Linked DNA regions of Rattus norvegicus. The protein of the gene in region 2 binds, or shares a complex with, the protein of the main gene of each other region. Links are inferred from orthologs where the notes say so. Each region holds a gene or a part of one and is shown on either strand. Other genes may lie near its edges. The genes, in order: Rsu1, Lims1 and Parva.

What was found.
Region 1: the proteins of Lims1 (region 2) and Rsu1 are in contact, whole or in part, in a crystal structure (PDB 7LT9), measured with the Homo sapiens proteins. The link is inferred for Rattus norvegicus from reciprocal best matches to the Homo sapiens genes LIMS1 and RSU1. Residues at the interface, in NP_001180417.1 of Homo sapiens: Cys252, Phe253, His254, Cys255, Asn256, Leu267, Asn268, Lys269, Ser279, Thr280, Cys281, Asn282, Thr283, Glu293, Phe294, Asp295, Met296, Lys297, Cys303, Lys306, Phe307, Pro308, Glu310, Leu311, Arg314, Leu315, Lys317, Leu318, Ala319; in NP_036557.1 of Homo sapiens: Asp21, Ser23, Asp24, Gln44, Val46, Ser48, His49, Val67, Asn69, Phe71, Asn72, His90, Asn92, Met95, Glu112, Asp115, Thr117, Tyr118, Arg137, Ala138, Tyr140, Ser142, Asp143, Ile161, Ser163, Arg165, Asp166, Glu184, His186, Gln188.
Region 3: Lims1 (region 2) and Parva share a complex: the UniProt entries of both Homo sapiens proteins name them as parts of the heterotrimeric IPP (ILK-PINCH-PARVIN) complex. The link is inferred for Rattus norvegicus from reciprocal best matches to the Homo sapiens genes LIMS1 and PARVA.

What each region holds. Positions count from the first base shown.
Region 1 is NC_086035.1:81,097,164-81,101,477, reverse strand, and holds the end of Rsu1 (ras suppressor protein 1), read left to right. Parts: exon of another isoform or gene 1-2,901; coding exon 2,902-3,004; 3' UTR 3,005-3,611; downstream 3,612-4,314. UniProt on the Homo sapiens protein: Potentially plays a role in the Ras signal transduction pathway. Capable of suppressing v-Ras transformation in vitro.
Region 2 is NC_086038.1:26,851,396-26,856,345, reverse strand, and holds the start of Lims1 (LIM and senescent cell antigen-like-containing domain protein 1), read right to left. Parts: upstream 3,337-4,950; 5' UTR 3,273-3,336; coding exon 3,241-3,272; intron 1-3,240. UniProt on the Homo sapiens protein: Within the IPP (ILK-PINCH-PARVIN) complex, binds to F-actin, promoting F-actin bundling, a process required to generate force for actin cytoskeleton reorganization and subsequent dynamic cell adhesion events such as cell spreading and migration.
Region 3 is NC_086019.1:176,124,450-176,128,599, reverse strand, and holds part of Parva (alpha-parvin), read right to left. Parts: intron 3,980-4,150; coding exon 3,918-3,979; intron 3,432-3,917; coding exon 3,363-3,431; intron 863-3,362; coding exon 761-862; intron 1-760. UniProt on the Homo sapiens protein: Plays a role in sarcomere organization and in smooth muscle cell contraction. Required for normal development of the embryonic cardiovascular system, and for normal septation of the heart outflow tract.

The DNA.
Region 1 (4,314 bases), on a different chromosome or scaffold from region 2:
AAATACTTGCTGCCGCGCCCAGCCTCCTGCTACCCTGTAAGGAAAGTCACTCGCTTACGGGCGAAGAAACTGAGGCATGCGAAGGGTGGGTGGGAGAAGGATTGGGGGGTGAAAGCTACCGATCATTTGCTCAGAGTCTGCACTGATCAAGGGTCAAAACTCAGATCGAAACATCTGCAGTGACTGCTCAGCCCTTTGTAGTGACTTGCAATGAAGCCCACAGGAAGTCCAGGCACACACAGCGTGGACTGAGTACCAAAGGCCGCAATTAAAACACCAGGTCATTCCTGTTCTTTCCCTAAAGGAACGAGAGCTTTGCTTCTCTTTCAGAACTGACTTTTCCGGATCCCACTCCCCTAGGGAACGTCCTGCTTGCCCATGTGGCTCACCTCATTCAGGCCACGCCAGTCAAGTCCTGGCTCGACTTGAGCTCTCTTTAACCCTCCATGGCCTCTCGTTGTTGACACGCCTTTCCTGATACTGTACTAGTTCTGCAATTCCATGTGATATATATTAGTTAGCCTCTCTCATTGCTATGACAGAATACCTGACAGACACAATTTAAAGAAGGAAGGATTCATTATGTCTCTTGATTTCAGGAAATGTCAGTCCATCGTGATGCGAAAGGCATAGCGTCGAAAGCTTGTGCCATGGTTGGCTCACATTTTGATGATAAGGAAGCAGAGTGGGACCAGATGCTAACCCAGGCCATAATTCTAAAGATCTCCTCTCAATGGCTTACGTCTTCCAGCTGGGCCCCATGCCTCAATGGTTCCGTAGACATCCCTCCTCCCCACCCCCCAAAACCCAGTGCCACTGTCTAAAGATCAAGTGTTCAAACACAGCCTTTGAGGAAATTTTGCATTTAAAACCAGAACACTTATGAATGAACTGTCTTGTTTCCGCTGGTTTGGATAATCAGTCGAATCTGGTGTTGTCTTGCATTCAAGCGAGTATATTCCTTTTTCCTGTGTGGGGATAAGAGGTTGTAAGACAAAGGAAAAGCATAAGAAAGCTGTGTACCCACCCATCCTGAGATCAGGGGTGCCCTGTGAACACGCAGAACAAAGTCAGATGTTGGCTGTGTGCCAGATGAGAGGACCTCAGAGAAAAGGGGCCTCTGGGGAAGCCTGGAGCCCCTGAGCATGAAATGTGTGGCCTCCGGTAAAACAGCCACTGGAGAAGAGATTTCAAAGGCCATTTGGTAGAACAGCGTGTTTCCGAATGTGCAGATTAAAGTGAGGAGAAGGGTAGACAGCTCTGCTTTGGTTCAAGGTCCTTCATGTTTGTCTCTGGGAGAGATGCTGGCAAGGCAATACATAGGCAGCGATATTGACAACATGGGAATTGGGTGACAGAACTAAGATTGGATGTGTTTCGTGCTCCATGAAATCATTAGTTCCTACTGGGTTACAGGACCCCAGGTGTCCAGGCTAGCCTAACCATTATGTCAGCACAAACTTCTGGAGCTTCTAATTGTAAGAGCCCAAGCCTATCCCTCTGTAAGTTCCCTTGTAACCTGTACACAAGCAAATGACTCCATTTTACCTGGAGATTCGTCCCTGCACCTGGCTCTGGGCGCCATCTCCTATCTCCTATGAGCGCCTATGAATTCTCTGTTCTGTAAGGGCAGACCTCTCCCTCGCCACTGTTGGAACAACCAGTTTCTAAACTGACACTTGGGAGGCAACAAAAGAGAGAGCATCATGTTACCTACTGAAACACTCGTGCCTGGCTTGCTGCCTACCCAGAGGACAGCTCCGTTTGCCAGGCCCTCCCCTCAGCCCGTCAGCCATAGTCTTGATGCCAATCAAGCGCATCCTTGTGCTCTACACATAGTGCATAGACATACAGTGTTAGCATTAAAAACCAGGAGGAATGGGTGTCGTTCCGAGGTATGGCACTTGCCTCGAGTCTGGTGGCCCTTGACTCCTTCCTTAGCAGCATACAGTACATAAAATAGTTCGTAAATATACACAGAGACAAACTGTAAATGAATGGATGACTCCTTGAGTGGGTATTAGAACCAGTGGCTCCTTACACAGAGAAGCAGGTCTCTTGGCTGACTCTTGGTTCCATTAGTCAATAGCAGAAGCAATGACTGGAATGAGGCCAGTCCTTTCCTCCAAAGATACTGAGGGCTGAGATGTGCATGGGACTCTGGAAAACACAGTTGTGTCAATAAAGGGAGTTAAGGCTGAGCTCTATTTATTTTAGGGTGGCTTTAATTCTGTTTAATCAGAATCACTCATAAATTATGGATTAATTACTATCCACCGCTCAGTTAAATCCTTTGCACGATGGATACCATCCACTGTAATTGTGGGGCACTTTGTCAACATTTAATCAGTGGTACTTATTAATGTGGCATTGATGTGTGGTGGCCATCCCTGCACCATCAATCACACATGAGCAGCCAGCACGATCTCCAACACCACCGCTCTGTGTCACATTAACTAGCCCCTGGGCTCTCGGGCTGAGCATTGGCGCTCACTTCTAATGAAATGGATAGTGTCTCTCCGTCCGGGGATCTTTTGTCCTTGTAGACTTAAAACACTACGGTTTTTAGAATGCAACTCCGAAAGGGCTTGGTGTACATAACCTGTTCTCAGCAGTCCCGAAGATCCTGTCTTCCCTCACCCTGCCCAGGAAGGGTAAAATACCAAGACCCTTGTCCACAATAGAACACTGCCATACAGGCTGTATACACATAAGTACACGTCTGTGCTTGCATGTGTAAAACTGTCAAGTCTTGGAGTGGATGGGGCAGAATCAATAGAACTCTTTTGGGCTTGTCAAACGTTTCTGAATATTTAGAGTTCGTCCTTAGGAAACTTAGACTAGTAAACAGAGCTCATGACTATCCCCCATCTCTCTCTCTCTCTCTCTCTCTCTTTTTAGCCTCTACGGCAGACACATGCAAGCCAACCCAGAACCCCCAAAGAAGAATAACGACAAATCCAAAAAGATCAGCCGGAAACCCCTTGCAGCCAAGAACAAATGAGGAGCACACACACACACACACACACACTGGTTTCTGGCCTCCTTGAAGCTTTAGCTCTTCTGGCCATCCTTGCTCTGTCCCACAAACAAACAACAGCGTGCTGGTGCCTACTTTTCTCTTCTTTTTCTTTTTCTTTCTTTCTTTCTTTTTTTTTTTTTTGAAAGAAAATTCTTTTCCCTTTCTCCTCCTGGTGCTTGAACGCAGCCTCCCTTTTGCACCTTTCTTGTGGAGGGGTGCACTTTTTATAAAGTCTTACATTCCTGCTCATTTGTTTCTTCTTTTTTTTTTTTTAAATTACCGAAGGCAGAAAACAAAGCTCTCATTCTCCTGCAAATTCCATGGGAGGCACTGGTTTCAGTTCCTTGAATAAACGTCACAAGACTGCTTATTATCAAAAGAATAATTAAAATCATGTAACCACTTAAATGTCACAGTTAACACTTTTCATTCTTTCTGTTTATTCGTATAACTCATTATTGTGCCTTATTAAAAATCTTCCCTCACCGCCAAGCTATTATGTTCATTTAACATCCAAATGATTTCAATAAAATCTTGAATTTATGTCACACTTCTCTTCTTGACTAAAATAAAAAAAAAATAACCTAGTCTTGGGGTGTGCCATGTGTTTTATTATTTCTCTCCCCCCTAATTTTTTTTTTACCTCCTCTAATGTTATTGATTGTAGATGACAATCTGTGGACCTTACCGTGAAACAAATACAAAATTAAATCAGAGTTCGTTTCCTCTCACATCAATTTGTCAGGTTTTTTTTTCCTTCTTCTTTTCCTTTGAAGACTGTTTCTAAATTAGGAAGGAAGAGAAAAACAAATCTCTAGGAGATCCTGCCAGAGGATTTTGGAAAGCAGCATCCTTGCACTAAACAAAACTGTGACTCGTGCCAGCGTCTGCTAGACAAGGGCTGAGAGAGAAGAGGGAGAAAAGCCCCAGTGTGTCGAGAGAGAACTCTGTTCACAGCAAAGCATTCTCCTAAGAGGCCAATGCCAAGGAACTTGTACAAACGCACACAATCTATACCACACCCGAGATGGAGACTACCCTGGCAGAGCCAGTCAACCACCAGTCACTAAGCATCCGCAGTGAGCAGCTCCTCCCCTCACCAGCAGCGGTGTGTGGAGATGAACATAAACCCAAGCACAAGTCTTGTGGGGGTACTTTGAGACCAATCAACAAAAACAGGTAAGGCGAAATACACTCTCAGTGGTCTGTGAGACAAGGACATGTTTCTCTCCTGTGCTGTCTTTACTGCCCATTGCTGTGCCTAAGCTGCGCTCTAAGTGAACCGGCGTCAG
Region 2 (4,950 bases):
GCTTTAAATAGCTTAAGGCATTAAGCTCTGAGTCCCCTGGGACACATTAAGGTAACAGTTTGGTAGACAATGTAAATGGTCTTCCTGAATTAAGAAGCCATAGCTCCAAGCAGCTGTAAGAACTGTAAAGTTAACAAGTGGTTTGACATGTTTTTCCTGCTATTTTAGTGTGATCCTACTCAAGAATATGATCTGAACTGAGGAGTACTTCCACGATTGTCTGAAGAACAAACGTGGGCTATTGAAAATACACTTGTGGAATCAAGCTCTGCTCTCTCACACTATGGATTTCTAAGGTTGCTTGAGTTTCTCCACCTGAAGGAGAGGCTGCGCCCTCCCAGGAAGGAGATAGCTCACTTCAGTACCCACACTTAGCAACATAAAAACTACCAAGGAGAAGAGCCAGGAGGCTCACACAATGGGAGAGAATGCAAATGCTAAAATCAATATAGCGCAGTCTCATAATAAATAAGTAAGGGCACAAGCCTGATGGATTTTTTTCTCCAAGACTGCAAAGCACAGAGCAGTTAAAGAACTAAGATATTTCAGGGCTAGAAATACAGTGGTGCAGTGCTTCCCTTACATAAAACCATGGGTTTGACCTCTGCAGAAACCCATGAAAAACAGGCGAGACTGTCTTTAATTCCAGCATTCAAGAGGAGGATGAGAAACTCAAAACCAACCTTGGCTGCCTTAGTTTAGATCCCTGGTTACTTTATGTTCTTGGTTACTATGGCTACATAGCAAGTTCAAGGCTGGCCTAGACTATGAGACCCAGTCTCAAAACAAAACATCCCACCAGGCCTATTTCCCTCCTTCAGAAGCAGACAAAGGACACTGCAAATTTACAAAGACACTAAGTGCCACCAGAGTTTCCCTGTTCATGATGCAACTTCCCTACAGGAACTTTAGGACCAGGGTTGCTCTTCAAGTCTTAGTCAATAAGTCCTAAGAACCAAGTCAAAATCCTGCCTCAAAGAAAGAAAACAAACAAACAGATTGCCCAAGAATAAAAAAGACTATAGCTCTCATTCAAGAAATACTTTGGGGATTGAAGAGAGAGAGATGGCTCAGTGGGTGAGAAACACTAATCTTCCAGGAGACCCAAGTTCTATTCTTAGCAACTCACAACCACCTGTAACTCCAGACTCAAGGTCATCCTCTGGCCTATGTAGGTATATGCACATGCCCATATATATACATAACGTTAAAAAGAAAACCAGAAATACTTGGAAGGCCATGATAGTTTTACCAAATTCTTTACATAGAGGATAAGAATGTGAATTTCTCCTTTAAGTGTCTGTCCTTGATGAAATAAATAATACAGCCATTCTGGAAAAACATTCTGTTCATTTCTTAAAAAGCTAAACATAAAAATTACTATATAATCTGGTAAGTTCATATGCTTAGACATTTTTTATAGAAAGGTAAAACATGTCCACACTAAAACCTATTCATGAACAGCCACAGTAACTTTATTTTTAATTCCTAGAAGAAACCTGCCAATACCCCAAATATCTTTCAGGTACATCCATACTATGTATCTATGGCACATGAAAGGAAGACTGTGTAACTCCACTTATCTGGGGTACTAAAAAGTTAAAACAAGGGAGAAAAATGGTAGTTGCCAGGACCTGGGGGAACAAGGAACGAAGATCTGCTCAATGTGTACGACAGCTTCACTTTTGTAGCTGTCTGAGGGCAATGGCAATGGACCAATATGGATGTACTTAATGCATAAAAATGGGGACAGGGCACACATGGTGGTCAAGAAAACAGACAGGAGGATCACTGACAAACTGAAGGGCAGCCAAAGAGTGAGATTCTACACAGTGAGATTTGGGGTGAGGAGACAGGATCAGGGAAAGCCACCAGACCAGAAACATACTTGAGGGTCCTACAAAGACATCATTCTCTTGTAGTCTGAGATTATACTGTACATCCGTTCTTCTTTACAGCTCATTACCAATTCCCTCTCAACTAGACATTCCACACATCTTTCTTTTTCAGGTGAAAAATGTCCATGGTGAATACAATTGCTCATGTTGAGCACAGTGGTTATACAAACTCTTAACTCTTGGTCTTCTCTTCCTTGGTGCCTGGAACCCAGGGGTATGTGTGCATGCAGTGCTTCTGCTACATACCAAAGTAATCTATCTCAAGGAAAAGCACATGCTATGTTAAGCACTGTACTGAATTGGAAGCATTTTTCTTGAAGTAAGATTTGTTCAGCAAGAACAACAAAAAGACAACCACGGTGACTTAAGACTCACATTTAGGCAGACATTTCCTTGAAACTAAATCATGGGGACAACTGACAATATTTTGTTGACACTGAGAAAAGTTACGATTTCCACTGAAAATTGCAATGCTGGAAAATGAAGCATCTTGAGTTTAACAGCTTTGATGATGTTAACAAAAGTCATTGAAAGACATTAATACGATATATTAGCATCCAGAACCTTCCTTAATAGGGTAAGCCGATAAAACCCATTACAATGAGTAACAGTTCCATTCAAATACAAGACAGCCTGAGGAATTTTCATATAACTGTGAGCTCGGGTTTCATATCAAAACTAGCCTTAAAAAAGAAAAAAACACCTTTTGAACTTCTGGCTCTATCATAAAGAATACCCACAATTATTTGGGAAAGCTATTCGAATATTTCTCTTCACGCGGTCCATCTATTTAAAACCAAATTTCCTTTAAATAGTTCATTCAAAACACATCACAACAGACAATGCAAAAGGAGAACCCAGCTGCTTTTTTTTATTAAGCCAGACGTGGACAGGATCTGTAAAATATGTAACGGGCTATTCGTCTTAACTTTTCTGTTTAGGGTATACTATTTTCATTAAATTGCGTTATGTATGTTAATATATCACGTATTATTCAACGAATAAACATTTTACACGTCCGTGTTCATTTCTAATACAACAAATGTTAACAACAAATGAGTGATCCTAAGACCCTCTGTTTCGTTCTTCTAATCCGTAGAATGTATTTCACATTAAGATCCAAACTCTGGGACAGCATCTGCTCTCACACCCCTAGGCCGCACAGGACAGCTCAGCCGGACCACGAAGGCCTCTCCCGCCTCCGGCTAGGGCGGTGCGTGTCCGGGCCTCTGGCCAGCCGCAGGCCGCACGGCCGCGGGGAGGCAGAGATCGCCCGCCAGCCCGGCCCGGCCCAGAGTAGGCTCGGGCAGCGGCGGGTCGCAGAGCGCGCGCGCGCCCGTACCTGTTGGTCATTCCGGCCGCCACGCCCAGCATCTCCGCGGTCCACGCCGGGTCAGTCTGTGCCTCAGTGCCCGCCGCGGTGGCCGCACCCTCTTCCCTCGCTGCGGCGGCGAGCGGCAGATTTGAGGGCCGGTCCTAGGCAGGAAGGGGGCGGGACGAGGCGGCCCGCGGCCACTAGCCTGTAGTGGCCCGCAAATGGCGGCGTTGACCACGCCCCGAAGAGCGCCAGCCTGGGAGGCGTGGCTAAGGACCTCCAAAACCGGGCTGGGGCGGGGCGAAATTTTGAGAGGGCGTGGGACCGTGTGCTGGGGTGAAGTGTAGACTGGGGGGAGAGCCGGGAAAGGGGCGTGGCGAAGTCAAGGAGCAGCGGCTTGGAAGTGGAGCCTGGCGAGGACCCTCCAGCATTGGGCCGTTACAGGTCTTGGCCCCGCTCCTTAATTGTCATAGCTCCTCCTTCCTCCACTTAGTTCCACCCCCTTCTTCGGCCTGGCCCTAAGCCTGCTTTCTCCAAGTTTGGCTGTGGGTGCTGCTCCTGGCTCCAAGCAGGCAGAGAGGCTTCTGGGTGTTCCAGGGCTGGATGGCCACAGAGTCTAGCGGCCGGGAACACTTGGAAGGGCGTGATGGTCAAAGAACGAGTAAGAGTACCCGTGGCTTGAGGCTCTGACTCGACTCAACTTGGCGTTAGGCTACCTAATCGGTCTACAGAGCGTGGGTACAGGGTTCCACCCGACCTGCGACGGTCCTAAGGAGATTGTGCCAGTGAAGATGCCCTGCAAGTCAGTCTTCCAGGAATGGAGGTCTCATCTGGATTGGCCATTTCCAGTGGGAACTTCCTTGCTCTTGTTAGAATTTTGGCTGGCCTGCAAGATGGCTCAACAATTCAATCCCTGGTGGAAGGAGACAATCATCTCCAATTGTCCTTTGACTTCCAAACACGTATACACAATCAACCCAAAAGAAAAAATGTTGCCATTTTGGGATAGTTGGGTAAAAACTGGCTGCCTCTTGATTAGTGGTTTTTAGTTTCATCAGAGCAATGCCATTTGTGGAATGTGCTCTCAGAGCAATTCTACTTCTGTGGTTGACCAGTCAGCCACAAAGAAAGCTTAGAAAAGTATGGTTGTTCTAGAAAATGGGATTGAATTTCTTACTGCTCAGCTTGACAGTATCTCAGAATAAAAAAGGATGCCACCATCACAATTTCTTTAGTTTCGTTCTGTCTGTCAGCAATCAGCTTTTAAAAACAAAATTTGATATTTGGAAGTTTTTCACATAGGTGTGAATATGCACACCAGAAATACAAAGTACACACAAATTGAAAAAATGATGTGTATGAGTGCATTCATGTATGTCTACTTACCACCTATGCACCCTTCAGAGACTACAAGACAGTGTTGGAGACAGATCTGGGGTTACAGATGTTTGTGAGTTTCCCTGTCTGTGGGTGCTGGGAACTAAACTGAGATCCTCTGCAAGAGCACCAAACATGCTTCACTGCTGAGCTATTTCTTCAGCCCCACAAAGAATTATTGGAAGGAATATTCAAAATAAATAGTTAACTATGTATTTTTTTTCTGAGCTGTGCATAATGGTGCACACCTTTAATCCCAGCACTTGGGAGGCAGCAGCAAGTGGATGTCTACGAGTTCTAGGCCAATCTGGTCTATATAATGAGTTCGAGGGCAGCCAGAGCTACATAGTGAGATCCTGT
Region 3 (4,150 bases), on a different chromosome or scaffold from region 2:
CATGCATTTGCCTGGGTCAGATGGCAAGGCATGTTCAAGGGGACCTCCACCTCGGGCCAAATGCCTTTCATCTAGTCAAGTAGGATAACAATGGCCCCTGAGGGCAGAATCAGGGCAGCCCAGAACAAAACAAAATCACCCAGTTCTTAAAAGGGCTGGAGATGTAGTTTAGCTCAATTTATAGCCATCCGACTTCTGTAATCTCGGTATTTAGGCAGCTAAGGCACGAGTACTGTACGGTCCAGGCTGGTCTGGACCTCTATATCAAATGGACCCCCTCCCCCAAATAGAAAAGAATCAGGGGTAGGAAAGATGACTCATCAATAAGAGGGACTGCGTTTTGTTCCTAGCACCCATGTGGCTCACAACTGCCAGCTCCAAGGGATTTAATGCCTTTTTCTATCCTCCACAGCACTTAAACATACAGGCACACAGATATAGACACATTGCAAAAAAAAAAAAAGAACCAGCCTGGCCACAGACCTCAGTGCTAGCTGGTTCAGGAACTACCTTTCCTGTCATCTCTGACAGAGACAGGTCTGGCTGTGTATCTAAGTTAGGGAGGCAGGGATAAACAAGGGGTGAGGAACAGTGTTCAGGATGCCCAGAGTCTCACATGCCAAGCCCAGCAGTTACTAGAGTGGCTTCATCTCCAACCAGCAAAGGCCTGGCCAGGAGGCTGCCTCCATCTTTTTCTAGACAGGCCCAGGACAGGTGGTCTGAACGCAGGCTATGGATTCCCAAGGCCTCTCGCCCTTACCTTCTGTTCAAAGCTGTCTGGGGTCAGGAAGAAGCTGTGCAGGGGTACAAAGTAGCCCTCCAGGAGCCCCATGAGCAGCACCAGGTAGACCCCATCTGCAAACTACACAGAGAGCCAGGTGTCAGCATGAACTTCCTTCATCAGTCTGGCATCAATCCACCCAAGGCCACCTCAGAGGGCAGGCTAATGGTGAGAGAGAGTCACAAGGGGCAAGTGGCTGGAGTAGGGGAGGGCTCCACTGGGGAGGCAATGTGGAAGCTGCCCTTGTGTCACCTAGCTTGGTCCTCAGCTTAATCTTGTGGAATAGACATCAAACCAATATACCCCACTTCACAGGGGAGAAAAGTGAGGTGCAGGGGGAAGGCTACCCTGCCTACTAGAAGGGACAACACTGTATGGAGCTATCGGGAGGAATGACAGATGATGGGCAAGGAGAGTGACGTAAGGCCCTTCAAGTAACTCTACTATTGGAATGGAGAACGTGGTGGCATCACCCAGGCCTGCCTTGTGTGTCCCTCCAGGCCTGGCTTCTGTGCCCGTTCCTCGTGATTCCAGAGGCAGCACAGTATGGCTGCCAGAAACGCAGGTTCTGACTCTAACCCTACTATTCAGCTCTGGGACTGCACTGTCTTTGCACTGTCTTTTTCTCACCTGTAAAGTGGGGGTGCAGAGGAGTCATGCATGTTCCACAGGGCTAGCACGAGGACTATATATAACATATATAAAGCACTTGAGGACCTGTTTGATATGTAGGTAGCACTTACTAAGCACTAGCCTTTGCTATCTGGAAAACAACAATGCAACAGAAATTCTTTCTGACCAAACAGAACTCTCTTAAGGACCACAGAAAGGGCCTTGAGGTCTGGACTAGGGTTGGGAAACTGAGCCCAAGGACCAGACTGTCGGGCTAAGAGCAGAGTGCTTTGTTCAAAGGAGACGAGCTGCATGTCCAGGGTGATCAGGGCAGTGATGGCCTGGAGTGAGTGGATTTTGGAAGGACTCAGTGTCCAAAGGTGCTTATCTGATATCCTAGCACCCCTTAGAGGATGCTGGACTACCGCATGTCTGTCGACCGCAGATGCTAGAAGTTGCAAATCACACTTCCTGCTGCTGCCCTACTAGGAGAATGAAGTGAACTAGTGTCTGGGTCTGGAGCCTCTTCATTCAACTTCCTAGAAGACAAAGAGGCCTCAAGCCCAGCTGGAACTAGGGTAGTCCTCCATACTCTTCTGGGCCACCTCAAGCAGGGGCGGCCTGTGCCTGGCATCCCATTCCACCCGCATGGGTCCTGGAGAGGGCAGCTCAGAGTCTCTGTGGAGATCAGAGCCCTCGGCAGTGAGGCAAGCAGCAAGGCTGGGTCTGGCTGTGGCTGGAGTGGTCGAACCTGTGGACAGATGCCAGAGTGGCAAGCAGCCTCCTCTCACACAGCAGCCCTGGCTCTGAGTCACGGGGAAGTTCCAGAGATCATTCTAGATGCTTTTCTAGCAATGTTTCAGATTGCCCCAGAGTTTGGACATACCGGAAGAGAGCTCTATAGACGACAGGAGGTGCTCACACTTGGGTGCAAGTCAGGCAGCTGTAGTTTACTCAGAATGAGAGAGGATGAGGGAGGTGGGGGTGTACAAATTATAGCTTAGTTATTAAGTACTAAGGTACAAATGGCTGTAGCAGATTCTACCTAGAGTCCAGCAGATACTGCCTTGGTAGTCTCTTTTACCACTACAGTGGGGCTAGTTAGACAAACGCCAGTAACAGTGTCTCCTAAGGAGTGCTGGCGTGGACAATGAGCAGTCTGGACAGCATGCCGATCATTTGATTGCTACTTTTCAAAATCACCAATGCCAGCCTAAAGGGAGGAGGGGCTTACGATGCTCTAACACTAGCTGAGGAGCAGTTGATGGCTGCTGGAGGGAGAACAGTTGGATTTCTTCTGAGGTGTGCCTCTGGTCCAGTGGATGGTCCTACACTCATGTGGACAGGGCCAGTTCTAACTGGACTCAGTAGGTTATTTATTAAAAAAAAAAGAAGAGGACATAATGTTGGGAGAAGGGTGGGGGTGTCTGGGAAGATCTGGGATGAGGGAGTCGGGGTAGATATGCTCTAAATATAGTATATACCTGGGTGAAATTATCAAAGAACGAGGCGACAACCAAACCCCACTGATGTCCTTCCAAGAACGTATGAGTGTTAAAGAGGGGTTGAGAGGATGGAACAGACATTTAAACACAGGGCAGGCGACAGGAGGGCGGTGACTGTTCTCTACCCATGACATAAACCCATTGCTCCAAATCAGCCAATATCACTTCATGAACCCCTCTAAACAGACGAGTATAAGGTACCAGTGCTAAGACTGCCTGCATCCAATCAGTGCACAGTGGTGCTCTAAGACTGTACTCGTTCAGAGGTGGAGAGAGAGAGCTTGGCCATGTGTTGTGTGTCACATACAGAGTAGTTTCCTGAAATGTTTCTAAAATCAGCTGCTGGTGGTGGTGGCACGGGGCGGGGTGAGGGATCCCCATCCGGCTCATCTCTCTGAGAAGAATACATCTCACATCTCATCCCTCCGCCTGGAAAACTTTGGGTCCCTGGAACTGTCACCGACCTGCGTCTCCAGTTCTGTGACCTCCAAGTTCAGTTTATTCAGGTGCTTGTTCACGAACGTGATGAGGGTCTGAAAGAGAAATGCAAAAGTACTAAGGTAGAGATCTCCACACGTGAAAGTGCTCTGGGGCCACAGGGAGAGACATGGCCTCTTGGTTAGGCAGCCCACGTGATATACAGGGTTTTGGCTGAAAGGGACAAGGAAACCCTGAGAGACAGGATGACAGGTGGAGTGTATGATTTGGGGTCAGTGGGGGCAGAAGGGGAATGAAGAAGAGGGCAAGAGACAAAAATGACCCCCTGGGTCCCTCTTGTTGATCCCTGTTTGGTATCACCTCCTGTCCCCAGGGAGAGGAAGGGTTCTGTGTGAGGGGCAGAGAAAGCTAGAGTCAGTGTGAGCAGGAGGATAGGGTAGGCATCCCACTGTGAGAAGATGGGCCCTGGATGACTAACCAGTGACAAAGAGAGGAAAAAGATGTCCAGGACACCCTACATGCAAGCTGGGATTTCCTCACGCACTGCAGGTCCCTGCTGCCCCTAGACAGCATAGACCTACCTTCTTCACCACATTGAGTTTGTCTGGTGCATGGTCAAACAGTGTGTCAAAGGCATCGCGTTCTGAAATAGAAACACACAGCATGCAGTAAAGCATGTAGTCCCCGAGTAGCTACCATGGGGCTCTCTGGCTGATTCTTACCAGAGCCCATGTCTGCGTGGCTATCAGATGACATATTTCTAAGCTGGCTGACCCGGGCTTGGTCCTTTCTTCTCACTTCCATCCCACCATAT